Regions from separate parts of the Mus musculus genome. Here all the other regions are reported to be linked to region 1. Evidence: microRNA targets listed by miRTarBase, many of them from high-throughput screens and not tested one by one. Region 1 holds a microRNA gene; each other region holds the end of a gene's coding sequence.
What was found. Region 1 holds the annotated microRNA mmu-miR-96-5p (UUUGGCACUAGCACAUUUUUGCU, at 2,137-2,159, opposite strand). A microRNA usually pairs through its seed, bases 2 to 8, with sites in the 3' UTR of a target mRNA and lowers its output. Matches are read on the target gene's strand: a 7mer-m8 pairs with bases 2 to 8, a 7mer-A1 pairs with bases 2 to 7 and ends in A, and an 8mer does both.

Region 2: miRTarBase lists Clic5 as a target of mmu-miR-96-5p. Seed matches in the 3' UTR shown: 7mer-A1 at 2,020-2,026.
Region 3: the mRNA of Foxq1 is a reported target of mmu-miR-96-5p. Seed matches in the 3' UTR shown: 8mer at 754-761.
Region 4: the mRNA of Jkamp is a reported target of mmu-miR-96-5p. Seed matches in the 3' UTR shown: 7mer-A1 at 612-618.

Annotation. Positions count from the first base shown.
Region 1 is chr6:30,167,370-30,170,453 of GRCm38, forward strand. It overlaps Mir96 (microRNA 96), which reads right to left and starts at 2,182; the gene lies at 2,077-2,182. All of the region lies in intron 1 of Mirc35hg (microRNA cluster 35, host gene), which reads right to left. It overlaps Mir183 (microRNA 183), which reads right to left and starts at 2,368; the gene lies at 2,299-2,368.
Region 2 is chr17:44,275,044-44,278,127 of GRCm38, reverse strand. It overlaps Clic5 (chloride intracellular channel 5), which reads right to left. Exons shown (of 6, transcript NM_172621.2): 6 at 1-2,914. The coding sequence ends at 2,747. Among named protein-coding and RNA genes, the nearest start is that of Clic5, 88 kb to the right of the region's middle.
Region 3 is chr13:31,559,891-31,562,974 of GRCm38, forward strand. Foxq1 (forkhead box Q1) reads left to right here. Exons shown (of 1, transcript NM_008239.4): 1 at 1-1,086. The coding sequence ends at 229. Among named protein-coding and RNA genes, the nearest start is that of Gm11377, 3.2 kb to the right of the region's middle.
Region 4 is chr12:72,100,226-72,103,309 of GRCm38, forward strand. It overlaps Jkamp (JNK1/MAPK8-associated membrane protein), which reads left to right. Exons shown (of 7, transcript NM_024205.2): 7 at 385-1,302. The coding sequence ends at 603. It overlaps Ccdc175 (coiled-coil domain containing 175), which reads right to left. Exons shown (of 21, transcript NM_028687.1): 20 at 1,703-1,831; 21 at 1,067-1,195. The coding sequence ends at 1,182. Among named protein-coding and RNA genes, the nearest start is that of Jkamp, 16 kb to the left of the region's middle.

The DNA.
Region 1 (3,084 bases):
CCAAGAGCCAGAGGACTGCAGAGCTGGGGCAGGGACCCGGATAATGGCCTGGATTGAATAAGCAAATGCAGGGGTGGGGGAAGGGCGAAAGTCTGGAATAATCCACCTCACAGGGACTCTGGGGAGCGGCTGGCCCAGGCAACCCCAACACCAGGCAATGAGGCAAGGAGCCTACCCAGGAGGCAGCAACTCAGGCACCTAGGAGCCACCGAGCCCGAACAATATAAGAAGGTCCCCAGTGGATTAAACTGCACCAACTGCCCTGAGAGGGTAAGGGTAAATCCTTCCGCAGGATCAGACAGCCAGGAAGAAACTGGTCCTGCTTGACAGGGTGAGCCCTCCCCTCCTACCGCACCCTCACCAGCATGGTCCTCTGGAAGCTGATTTTCTGCGGAGTCCAACCAGCCTTGTGGCCTCTGCTCACCGGCAGTCACTACTATAGGTGAACTTTCACCCAGGTCGAGAACAGGCTAGATGAGGAGAACCAGAAAGCTATGGCCAGTGGTCATCCTTTGGGAATGCAGGCCCCAGAGGGGTGGAGCCCTGAGCCTGGAAAGAAGTATAGAACTGGGCCATACCAACACCTGCTAGTGAGGTCTCAGCAAAGCCTCCACCAAGGCCAGTGTGAGAGGCAGGACCACTAGGGGTCTGAGGACTGCTTTGGTTAGAGGGACCCAGCTCTGAGTGGCCCCCTGAGTGCTGGACAGGAGCAGAGTTGGGTTCACAGAGGCAAGACCCGAAACAGAGACCTCACCAGGGTGAGGCGGTGAGGTCTCTTCCTGTCCTTCCTTTTCCCGCAAGTGCTCAGATAGCCTTCTGCACAGGACATTAGTGCCATACCCCAGAGACTTATGGAAGCCCCCAGTTGGCAGTAGTAGGTCTAAATGTCCTCGCTATCCAACACAACTCTCAGGGCACCCAAGCAGGCGGGCGGCCCTGGATGCTCAGGCACGTTCCTGGTGAGCAGTCAACTGGATTGGTTGATCTCTAACTTCCAGACTCAACTGTACACATTCCCCTGGCCTGGCCCCAGCCCTCTTTAGCTTGGCCACCTAACTGTAACTGGACTGAGTAACTGGCTCTTGCAAGAAGTTCCCCTTCCCCAGGGAGAAGCAGTCTCATTAGGGGCTGGCCCAGTAACTTCAGATATGATGGCTACCAGATGGTCAGTGGACCAGCTTAGTCAGCTCAGCTCTCACTGCCTGCTAACCACCAGGGCTTCACCCAAGAGCCTGGCTGGTGGGTGGGCTCTTCTAAGCCCTATGGACCAGGTCCAGATCTAACTCATTTTGAAGGCCAGGGATATATGAAGGGTCAGAGCCAAGATTCACCCAGCCACAGGGGGCAGGGGTGTGTGAGCACTCTCCACAGAGCAAGGCCACTGGAGGTCAATACATTGTCGTGACTGAAGAGAGGTAGCGACCCTACTTCACTACTAATGGACCTCCAGCCTGTCCCTCCATCTGTGAGATGACTCTTTACAAACTGGTGCAGCTGTTCGAGATCAGAGCTTACATACACAATGTTACATAACACATATATGGGCAGCTTAGGGACATTAAGTCACAGGGACTCCAAGGATGCAGGAAACCAACACTAGTGGGTGGATGGAAAGGCCACAACTGAGCCTTCCAGAACATTCCCAGCCCTCCACACTAGTATCCCTCTCATCACTGACCTAAGGTAAGCCACTGATGGTAGGCTCTAGGGACAGCCACCCTCATAAAACACTCATGCTGAGCACAGGATATCCCATTGCTTGGAATTGCTTCCTTGGAATCCTGTAGCAGAAGGCTAGACCCCAAAGACGGCTCGCCTTAAGGAGGAGGAGCCCAACAGGGCATCACAGAAGCTGGCCCTACAGATGGCGACCCCCACCCCCACCGCAAGCATCTCCATCTGTTGGCCCAGCTCGGATTGCCCAGCTCCGACTCCACTCTGGCCTCAGGCAGTGAAAGGTGATCTGGCTGTTCACCAGGGTAGGGCTGTACCCTCCTCACCCAGCAGTAAGCCAGATGGGCCAGGGAGCCAGTGAGACACACAGACCCTGGGATGCCGGGGGAGGTGAACGTGGCCGCAGCAGCCCGCTTTTCCCATATTGGCACTACACATGATTGCTCACAGCGGAGAGACACAAGCAAAAATGTGCTAGTGCCAAAATCGGCCAAGCAGATGGTACTGGAACAGGCCCTCTGGGGAAGGAGCAGAGGAGGTCTTTGTACCCTGGCACCCCTGGAAACAGAGGTCTAGGCAGAAAGGGGTGAGGAGCTCCAAGGTGCTCGCGGATCTGTCTCTGCTCTGTTTATGGCCCTTCGGTAATTCACTGACTGAGACTGTTCACAGTGAATTCTACCAGTGCCATACACAGGACAGGAGTCACACTCTCCAGCCTGCAGACCCTGCAGAGGGGTCAGCTGCCTTCTCCTGGAGGTCCTACAACCTACTCCCCCCACCCCACCCCCACTGCTGTCATCCGCAGTTTAGCAACCCTCCTCACCAGCTCTTCACCAGCTCGTTGTTGTGCACTAGCCCAAATTGTCCTTCAAGAAGACAAGGACAAGTGAGGAGAAAGTCTGATTTCTTGGACTTGCAGAGGGCAGCAGAGTTTCCCATCACATCCCAATACCATCACCCAAACAAGCCACCTTCCTGCCAAGGTCAGCAAGCAGTTGCCAGATCCTCATAACCTAGGGCACTGGACCTCACCTACTCCCAAGTGGGCAGTGACAAGAACATCCAATGTGCTTCTCATGGCCTCTCGGCACAGAGGCCAGCAGTCCTGGCTTGCCCAGTGACACAAGCAGAGGCCCAGAAGGCAGGACTGCAAAGTGTCCCCGATGGGCACCTTTGTGGCTTGACCAGGGCCAGGATCAGGGCAGGGGGCTCCTTCAGACAAGGAGGCAGCTCGGAAGGAGCCAGGGTGAACTGTTTCTGGCAGGAGCCCTCGGAAGCAGCCTCTGGAAGGTTCTGAGAGTACTTTGGAGGACGGTAGAGGCTACAGAGCCAAGGGAGGGCTGGGGCGGTTGCGTCAGTGGTTGCTACAGCGGCTGCCACGAGAGAAGGCAGGATGGAGGCCCTTGCCTC
Region 2 (3,084 bases), not on the chromosome of region 1:
AATCCAAGGTGAGAAAAGAATACACAATAGCTCTGTCAACATAGCTTCCTTTTCTCTGACATCCAAATGCTTCCTGGGGGACTGGCATTTACCGGAATAGCTCTTATCCAGAATTTCTGCAGGTAGAGTCCACACTACAAACCCTTCCACATGGTCTGAGCTGGGACTTGGAACCTCAACACAGGGTGACTGCAGATGGTAAACCATATACATATCAAGGTTAAGACCAAGGTCCAAAGAAACTAGAGCCTCCAGAGAAAACTCTCCTTGGAGGGGGTGGGGTAGGTAATCATCATTGACTTTATTGCTATTTTTTTTACATACTATGATAATTGTGTCCTAAGACATTGGTTAGTCTCATTATAGTTATTTGATAACATTAAAGTTACATCTGCATTAAAGTACTGAGGAAAGCCTCCCATTTACAATCGTGCCTCTCTTTAAAGGGGTTCTGATTGATCCTATAGCATCCAACATTGCCTAAATATTGTGATGTATGTGAAACTAACTCAACCATAGGAGAACCGTCTAGAAACAACATCGACTCGGCTTGGGAAGTTTGTTTTTAAAAGACATGCCGATTGCTGGGCTCAGAGCATCACATGAGGAAAATTCTTCCCCTTCCTCTGAGGCCCCTCAGCATGCACGCTAGTCTTCATATCTTTAACACCAGCCCACCTTTGGAAAATAGGGGTGTGAGCTGCGTGAGTTCACCCTGCCTGCTTGTAAATTCTAGGAAGGATCCCGGAGAACAGCATGGTTTTCTTTTAATTAAACGGCCTTCCGGATGGTTCCGGAAGTTCTGCTTCCCCGAGAGGCCCATTGAGGGCTCTTCCCTGAAGAAAAAAGTGCTGTTCCCTCAGCAGTGCTACACTTTTAAACATCCCCAGGGGTAGCTTATGGAGAGCCCGTGGAAAGGTTCCTGTAGCGATGGAAATGAATCGGCTCATTTTGCCTCTTCAAAGCCCCTTCAGGTTTATAAACTTCTAGCAGGCAGAGTCCTCTTCCCCAGTGGGCTAGGGAGACCTCCTGCTTCCTCCCTCCTTGGATCAATGGTCACTCTTTGCTTTGGAGATCCCTAGAGGCAGGAGGGCTCAGTGACTGCTTGGGTTAAACCATGTTGTATTTCTATGGAAAGGATCTGTGCTGCTCCACCCTCCCGAGCAATGAGCCAAGACCAGGGCCTTACCGGCCCTCAGGAGCCTCGCCTCCACTGTCAGTGACACAGAAGCGGGATTGTTGGAGTTGAGGTCCTGGTGATGGATTTCTTCTAGGCACTCACTAGCTCACTGGTAGAGGAAGAGCTAATGAGTGATTGATTTGTCATAGTTCCTAATCAGCCTAGGTTCTCATGGTCACACCCTGTGAGAGTTGTAGGTAAAACTCAAGGAGAATTACTAAAGAGAGAAATATTAGTTTATAAAGAAATTTTTAAAAAGTTTTCTCTTCCTTGAAAATCTGATAGATGAGCCTGCTGACAGGAAAATGAACCCAAGCCCAAGGCAGTCCATAATTTCCAAATTCAAGTTGTGGCTTCCCAGTCAGAAAGACCCATGGGCTTTCTTCCTAAGGTAGCCCACGATCACACCATTCATTAATAGACTTTCTCTTTCATCAGAGGCTGAGGCTGAAGAAACTGGGAGCCAGGGCACAGGCAGGTGGCAACCCACATCTGCAAGTGACTATGAAGAGCCTGGAAGACATTTTTGGCTGATGTTGGAGTCTGCTCTACAGTTGGTAGGGGTGCCGTAACACCAATCCAAGATTTAGATAATGAGAGAGAAGACTGCTCTAAAAGTTTTCTAGGCTATGTCAAACTCAAATAGAACTTTATTTCCTCCCATCCCTCCACTTCCTTCGCTTGCTCAAACCCAAAGCTACCCACTGAAGAACACAGTCACACACACACACACACACACACACACACACACACACACACACACACACTCTCATGTGATCTCCAGTGGACGACTACTCTTCAGCCAGTGACCCCTGTGGCTGTAGACCCTGTTTGGGCCTTTTGGCATCAATATTGCTTCCCAGAAGTCTCTCCCTATCTGGGTCACCTTGGTTTAGAGTTATAAATCGACTGCCTTTGTGGCAAAATGGAGACAGGAGGAAAACTTGGGTCAGTGCTGGCCAGGATGTAATCATATTGCACCAGAAAACTGGGGTATATTGTGTGTTGGGGGTGTCTCCATCTGGCCCACTGTCAGAAATAGTGAGCATCTGGAACTGTTTTGCTAGAGCCACACCCAGCTGAGTCCCCCCAACCACTGTCTCCCCAATCAAGGCATAGATCTCTCCCTGACGATGATGTATCTGTCCATCACCTTGCATTTGCTGAGGAACGAGGGGAGAGAGAAGCTGGCATTTCAAGTTGTTAGCGCATCTGAGAAAGCATTATGATATTGGCAGAAGGGAACGGTGACAATCCCATGAGAGCTCTGCAAACTGACCCCAGATTCACTGACCCCAGATACACTGACCCTAGATCAGACCAGCAGGTGGAAAAAAAATCTGCCACCGTGTCCTCTGCTTGCCAGGCTCCTGCAGGGCAAGGCAGAAGGATGGCACTGATCTTAGAAGGTAGAAGGCTGGAGTTGAGTTCAGGGGTGCCAGTAAGATGTGGCCTAATTTTTTTTTATGTTTCCCCAAGGCAATGGGGAAGAAGAGTCTGTAGAGCTGAAAGCCATTGGGAGAAGTAGAATTCTTCTGCAGCAGAAATTGGGCCAGACAGCCAAGCTCACGATCGGCTGAGGCGCCTGGCGACATCTGCGTAGGCCAACTCGATCTCACTGTCAGCTGCACAGGTGTTGGTGAACTCGTCCCGTGCATAGGCATTCTTGAGGTATCGCCACAAGCCTGTCATCTCAGCTGGGATGTCATAGTTTCGGTACTTCTTAGCCACAATCTAAGCAAAGATGACAAGAAAATGATGGCATGAAGGCAGGAAACAAAACATTAGGAGGTGTTGGGACCATGGTTTCATGGGTGGCTGTGCATATCAGGTATGTTTGCATACAGCATGGCCAAGAGAAGCTGGGTAGAAAGACTAGCCATATCTGCAAGCTCCCAGGGTCT
Region 3 (3,084 bases), not on the chromosome of region 1:
AAGCGAGCCTACGCTGCTGGCGTCGCGCGGGACCGAGGTGCAGCCCGCGGCGCCCCTTCTGCTGGCGCCCCTCTCCACCGCGGCTCCAGCCAAGCCATTCCGAGGTCCGGAGACCGCCGGCGCGGCGCACCTGTACTGCCCCCTACGGCTGCCCACGGCCCTGCAGGCGGCAGCGGCCTGCGGTCCCGGTCCGCACCTGTCCTACCCGGTGGAGACTCTGCTAGCTTGACAGGAGCTCTGTGCTCAGCAGAAGGGGTGCTGAGCAGGGTGGAGTTGGGGGCGCCTTTTGTTGAGGAGGTTGGAATGTGGGCTCTAGGGCTGTGCACTTTCCACTTTCCGGAGGAATAGAGTTTTTCTTTTTTTCAACTCTCCATCAAATGTGCCTTAAAGTTAAGCATTTTGACCCAAGTGTTTTAACTTAGTCCAGAATAGTTTCCTTTGTCTTTTGTAACTTTACAGAGGATCAAAGCCGTTCTTTTCCATTTCTTGGCCAGGCCTGTACTCTCCCGCATAGAGGCTTTCCTTTCCCTCCTATTTGCGTCACGCCTTCCACTGATTTACCTTCCCCACCCATAAAAAAGAAAAAGAAAAATACATCAGGGAACCACTCCATGGGGTAAATGATGACTACTGTTTGGGGTTTTGAGACCCCGCTGTGTAAATGTGTGTCTTTCACAGGAGTGACTGCTGCGTGTAAGAGAGCTGTCAATCAAACTTATGGTCATTTTCTTTGCTAACAACCAATGCTTCACTGTGCCAAAAAAAAAAAAAAAGAGGGAAATGTTGTTGGGTTTTTGTAATTAAATTATTTATATATTTTTGAAACCTGAATTGAAATGTTGCAGGCAACGGCTACAGCTTTATTAGTGGTTACCTAACTGTGGTCTTCTTGGGCCAAGCAATTTCTTTAAAGGAAAAGTTAGCATTATGTTTGTGGGGTGCCAGGGCCGCCACCACGAGAAACCGTGTGATTTTTATTTTAATATTATTTGTGTCTGTGTATATATTTGTATATAAATTTTATGAACCCCAGGCATACTGCTTGTTTTTTTAAAAAAAAATAAAACTCAAAATTGATCTACAAAACACTTTGTGATAGTAGATTGGGGTAGATATTTTTACCACTCCCCCACCCCAAAAAAAATGGGTTCAGGCTGGGCGGTGGTGACGCATGCCTTTAATCCCAGCATTTGGGAGGCAAAGGCAGGTGGATTTCTGAGTTCGAGGCCAGCCTGGTCTACAAAGTGAGTTCCAGGACAGCCAGGGCTATACAGAGAAACCCTGCCTCGAAAACAAACAAACAAACAAAAAGTCCTTCATACCGAGATCAAGATATTTGTGGTTTCATTTTCTGCTATTGCTTCACAATGTCTAGGATGTGCCTTCCATTAATAGAATTTCCTAGACTCAAAGACATTCAGGAGTTAGCACAACACATACATCTGCCTATCTCTCTCCTAAGAACCTTTAGCCGGCCAGGTGAGCTGGCAAGGTGAGGTAGCAAACAGCTTTTCGTCAGGTGGACATTTTCAAGTCAGTTGACTGAAGCTGGAAACTTGATCTTGGCGTAAAACTTATTTGGCACACCAAAAATTGCCTTCAGGCAATTTTCAGGGCAACTTGAATGCTAGTGTTTTTTGTTTTTTGTTTTATCAAAACAAAGCTACCTTTTCTTGAACTAAAACAGTTGCTTGGGTGTGAACACTTCTGTGATCTTTCCTGCCATCAGCTGAGATATTATTCGCAAATAAGGACGCTGATTCCTTGGTAAGTTCAAAAGCAACAGGTCCCTAACAGCTCCGTACATTGGAAAAGTCTGAAGTGGTGAGATATTCAGACAGAATATCTGGGCCTCCATGCCAGACAGAAACGTGACCTGAGATCTTAACATTTCATGGAGAAGAAAGCAGTGAGCCTGTTGGAGGATGCTCCTTCTGGGACAGGGATGTAAGAAAGCCTCCAGGGGTTGGAGTTCTCAGTATTCCTCAGAGTGATACTAATGGGTTTGGATTCTTGCAAAAGGTAGACAAAGCTGAAACAAACCAATCAGGAAAGAGAAAGGCAGGTTCCCCTCGTGGAGATTATGTTCAACTGCACGTTCCCAGCAAGCCCTCCATGTCTGAGGGCAGGAGGGTTTATAGCTTGCACAGCCCCCTCTGCCTTCTACCTGACTTCTCTCCAGTTAGGCACCTTATCTGTGCAGGGTGCTGACATCCATGTCCCCATTGGTACTTATTCTTTTCTCTTCCGATGCTGTGTCTTTTGCTGCTCACTGAAATCGCTGTTTGTGTCAAAGAATACAAAAACCAATTTAAAAGGGAAAGGTGGTGTTTTAAAATCACAGCTGTTTCCCCTCCCCCTCTAAAGGAAACCATCCCTCCTAATAAACTGAGCGTCAACACAGGGCTCCCTCCTAAGCCTTTGTCCCCAGGGACTGAAGGGTTTTCGAAGGAATGTTGAGAGTCCCAGACTGGGAGTTTCTGGTCTCAGTTGGGCTTTTCATGGTCAGTTCTATATCCTGTATCTTGCAATGTGTGTGTGTGTGTGTGTGTGTGTGTGTGTGTGTGTGTGTGTGTGTTTCTGGGTGCTAGGCCTCCAGGGAGACAGAACAGCTTCACAGAGCGGGGTGGGGGCCTGTGGAAACACTTTTGTTTCAGGCCACATGGCTTCGAATTTCAGAGACATGGGCCTTCTGTGCTGAAGCTGGTAGGATCAAGTCTGAGCTCAGACCTTCAGACCTGTTGTTGCACCACCCTGATGCTGTGGCTGGTAATGAACTTGGCTAATGGTAAGCCAAGAGCATCCAGTGTTCCGGAGCCTCTGCTGGTTGAGTGAGGTGGGCAGGGCAAATCCACAGCCTCGGGCTCCTTCTAGAACTGATTCTTGACACTCCCACCCCTAGTACCCTACAACAGACACAAAAGCCAAGCTCCCCGCCAGCAAATAAAGGTTCTCCTAGGAGCCCCAGAAAGCTTCCCAGGATTAGCCTCGCTGACCTACGAGCATCAATAAGTAAGCCCTACCCTGTCCACTTGCACTGGCTCCGAAGTTTCACAGGCTGCGTTTTTCTGCCTCTGGGAATGT
Region 4 (3,084 bases), not on the chromosome of region 1:
TGATATGGTAAGGTACACTAACTGGTTCAGTGATTCTTGGAGATACCGGAGACCTCAGAGTCAGGGAGTGAGGGTTCTGGAACTGCAGTGGGCCTGGATGGAGAGAGCATGCTCTCTACACTTCCTCTTTAGTTCATGTCTATCTCAGGAAGCTTATGTTCCCCAAGTAAATGGTGACATGGATGAGAATGCAGAGAAGGGCTCTAGGCCAAGTATGGCTGCCGAGGGCCTGTGTGGCCCTGTGGACGGTGTGATGGCTAGACCTGGGGCTCTCAAGTCCGTTTTAGCTCAAGCTTTCAGAGTCCCAGCCATGAGTGTATAAGGAGCAGTGGTTTAGCTGGGTTTGCTAATCTGTTTCTCTTTTCCTTTCCAATGATCCCATAGAACTGCTATGATCTCCTGGTCAGGAAGAAAAGACTTATCGTTCTCTTCAGCCACTGGCTACTGCACGCCTATGGCATAGTCTCCATCTCCAGAGTGGACAGGCTGGAACACGACCTACCGCTTTTGGCTTTGGTACCTACACCAGCTCTGTTTTACTTGTTTACTGCAAAATTTACCGAACCATCACGGATACTCTCAGAAGGGGCCAATGGACATTGAATATAAAATGCCAAAAAAAAAAAAAAAAAAAAAAAAAAATCCCGAAAAGTATTCTTCATTAAAAAAAAGTAAAGAAGAATTAAAATGTATTAATAGCATTCTTTCATACATGGGAAGAAGATTGTCCAGATATTATAATGCTTGTGCTTTATCTTTGGATTTATTGGACCTTGTGGTTACACTTGGAGACTACAGGGCCTCCTGTTACTGTGCTCTGCCTATCTTAGCTATCACACCGGAAGCCCAAACAGGCAGGGGTAATTGCTCTTTGGAGCACGGCCATGTTTTTGTACACCTGTGCTGATGGTGTCTCCCTGCTTTTTGTGAAGAACCTTTAACAAGTGTATTCTGAACTCAATTGCTGTGGCATCATTATGCCTTCTGTTGTCTATACATTACCTTCGAGGAATTACAAAGGCAGATGTGCTTGTGGAGTGTGATGGCAAAAACAGAAACAAAGGATGTCTTTGTCAATGGCTATTTATTTTCACCAATACAGTGTTTAGTAATATTTCAAAAATAAAGCATAATTTATATAACGAACTTTCTGTTTAGAGACAGTTTGGTTGAAGACATGTTCAGATTATTGTTCCTGTAAAGAAGAAAACAATAAAGAATTTAATTGTAAAATAACTCCATGTTCTGATAATTCTTTTTTGCTACAGTGATTATGGAAGTAATTAAAAATGTTAAGCATTACGACTCATATTTCTTCTGTCTACTGAATAAATATGCTCACTCCCATTCTCTCATATTCAATTTCTTAAAACAAGATATATAGGCCACACTGTATTGATCCTGAGACTTTTTTCCAGTCATGACATTTCTGAGTCAGGATCTTATAACTGGAAGTCTCTGAGATAGAGTGAAATATGACATACATAGAAGGTCCCCGTGGCTGGTTTTGGATGGGTAAGTGGCCATGTTCGTATCTGAAGGCTTTGAGAGACTCATGTTCTAGCCATGGAAACAAAGACCCTTAGCCCAAAAATCTGGCCATGTGTATCCATTTGTGATTTGAAAAGTTAGTCCCCGAGTCTGCTCATGGCAACTCTGAAGACTTCTACTGATGCTACAAAACAAACTTAAGAGCACTCACGTGGCCTGTGCTTCTTCTTCCGGCTTCTTGATTGTTTCTTTAACATTTTGCAGATCCTGCTTAATGTGAGTCTCCTAGCATGAGAGGATGGGGAAAAACGAAGTATTTCTTGATTCTTTTGCTTCTTTCCTATAAGAAAAAAATTGGGTTTTGTGGTTATTACTGAATATTAAAATGCTGAGTTGCTCCAAGAATCCACATGTGAGAGGTGACATGTCTGATGTGCCACCTCTGAGCCTACTGCATTTGAAACTGTTTTGACAGTTACCTTCCTATGTCCTCTCCTAGCAAAAAAAAGTCTGTATAAGAGAAGTCATAAGATAAAAAGGTTACAATTCTGCAGAGGCAGAGATTGTTAGGGATACTCAATTACTTCATGGGAACAAAGTTATTAATATAGCCACGCTAATTATTCATGTTAGTAACGTTTGATAAAATGTGTTTATTAAAAATATGCAAAACAGGAGGCAGAGGCAGGTGGGGCTACAGGCTTGGAAAATCAAATGCCAGCCTTGGTCTACAGAACACGCTTCAGGACATCTGGGGCCATAAATAAATAAATAAATAAATAAATAATAAATAATAAAATTTGTAAAACAGCTCTCATCCTAGTTCAGCGTCCATCATGTTTGAGGTCTTCATGACACATTGCAACTTAAGGCTAGAGTACTTTGCTATTCAGACCTGAATAATTTGAAAGGCAAAAATACTCTCTTAATGTGGACTTCTAGATGAGTTTAATTTATCCAAAACTATGAATTTAAAGGACTTTGCTGCTCACTGGAGCCATGTAGAAATTAAAAAAAAACAAAAACAAAATGTGCCTGAGCTCACCCCGATACTCATGATAAGCTGGTCTAGCATGCAGCCTCAAGGTGGATTCTTTTTTTTTTTTTTCCTTCTAACCTAGATGTGGAAGGTTGAGAACCACCGGCCTACAAGTCTCCCTTATCTAGAGCTTAGTTTTCCCAAGGGGCATTTTGGGTTTGGTTTGGTTTGGTTAGGCGTGGCTTTCCCAAGACAGTCTTGTTACGGCTGTTATGACCTACCCTGGGTGACCTTGAGCCTCTGGATCCAGACTGCCTCAGCCTCCTGGGGCAGGGCTCGCACAGTGGGGTTTTCACGATACCCTTTGAATTATTCAACAAATGATTTCACTTTACTCTCTGTAATGTTAATTTTACTGTAACTATAAAATTGAAAGTAGTTATTTTTTCAGAATTAAATGATCAAAAAAATGGGCGTAATAGTATTGAGTCACTTTTCCATCATAAAATGAAAAGGCCACTTTGACCATGCTAAGAATTGGTTTCTCAAAGCATGTTATGATCTACAAAGGTCTTTCTGCAAGGAATGTGTTATTTGATCAATACAAAACACCT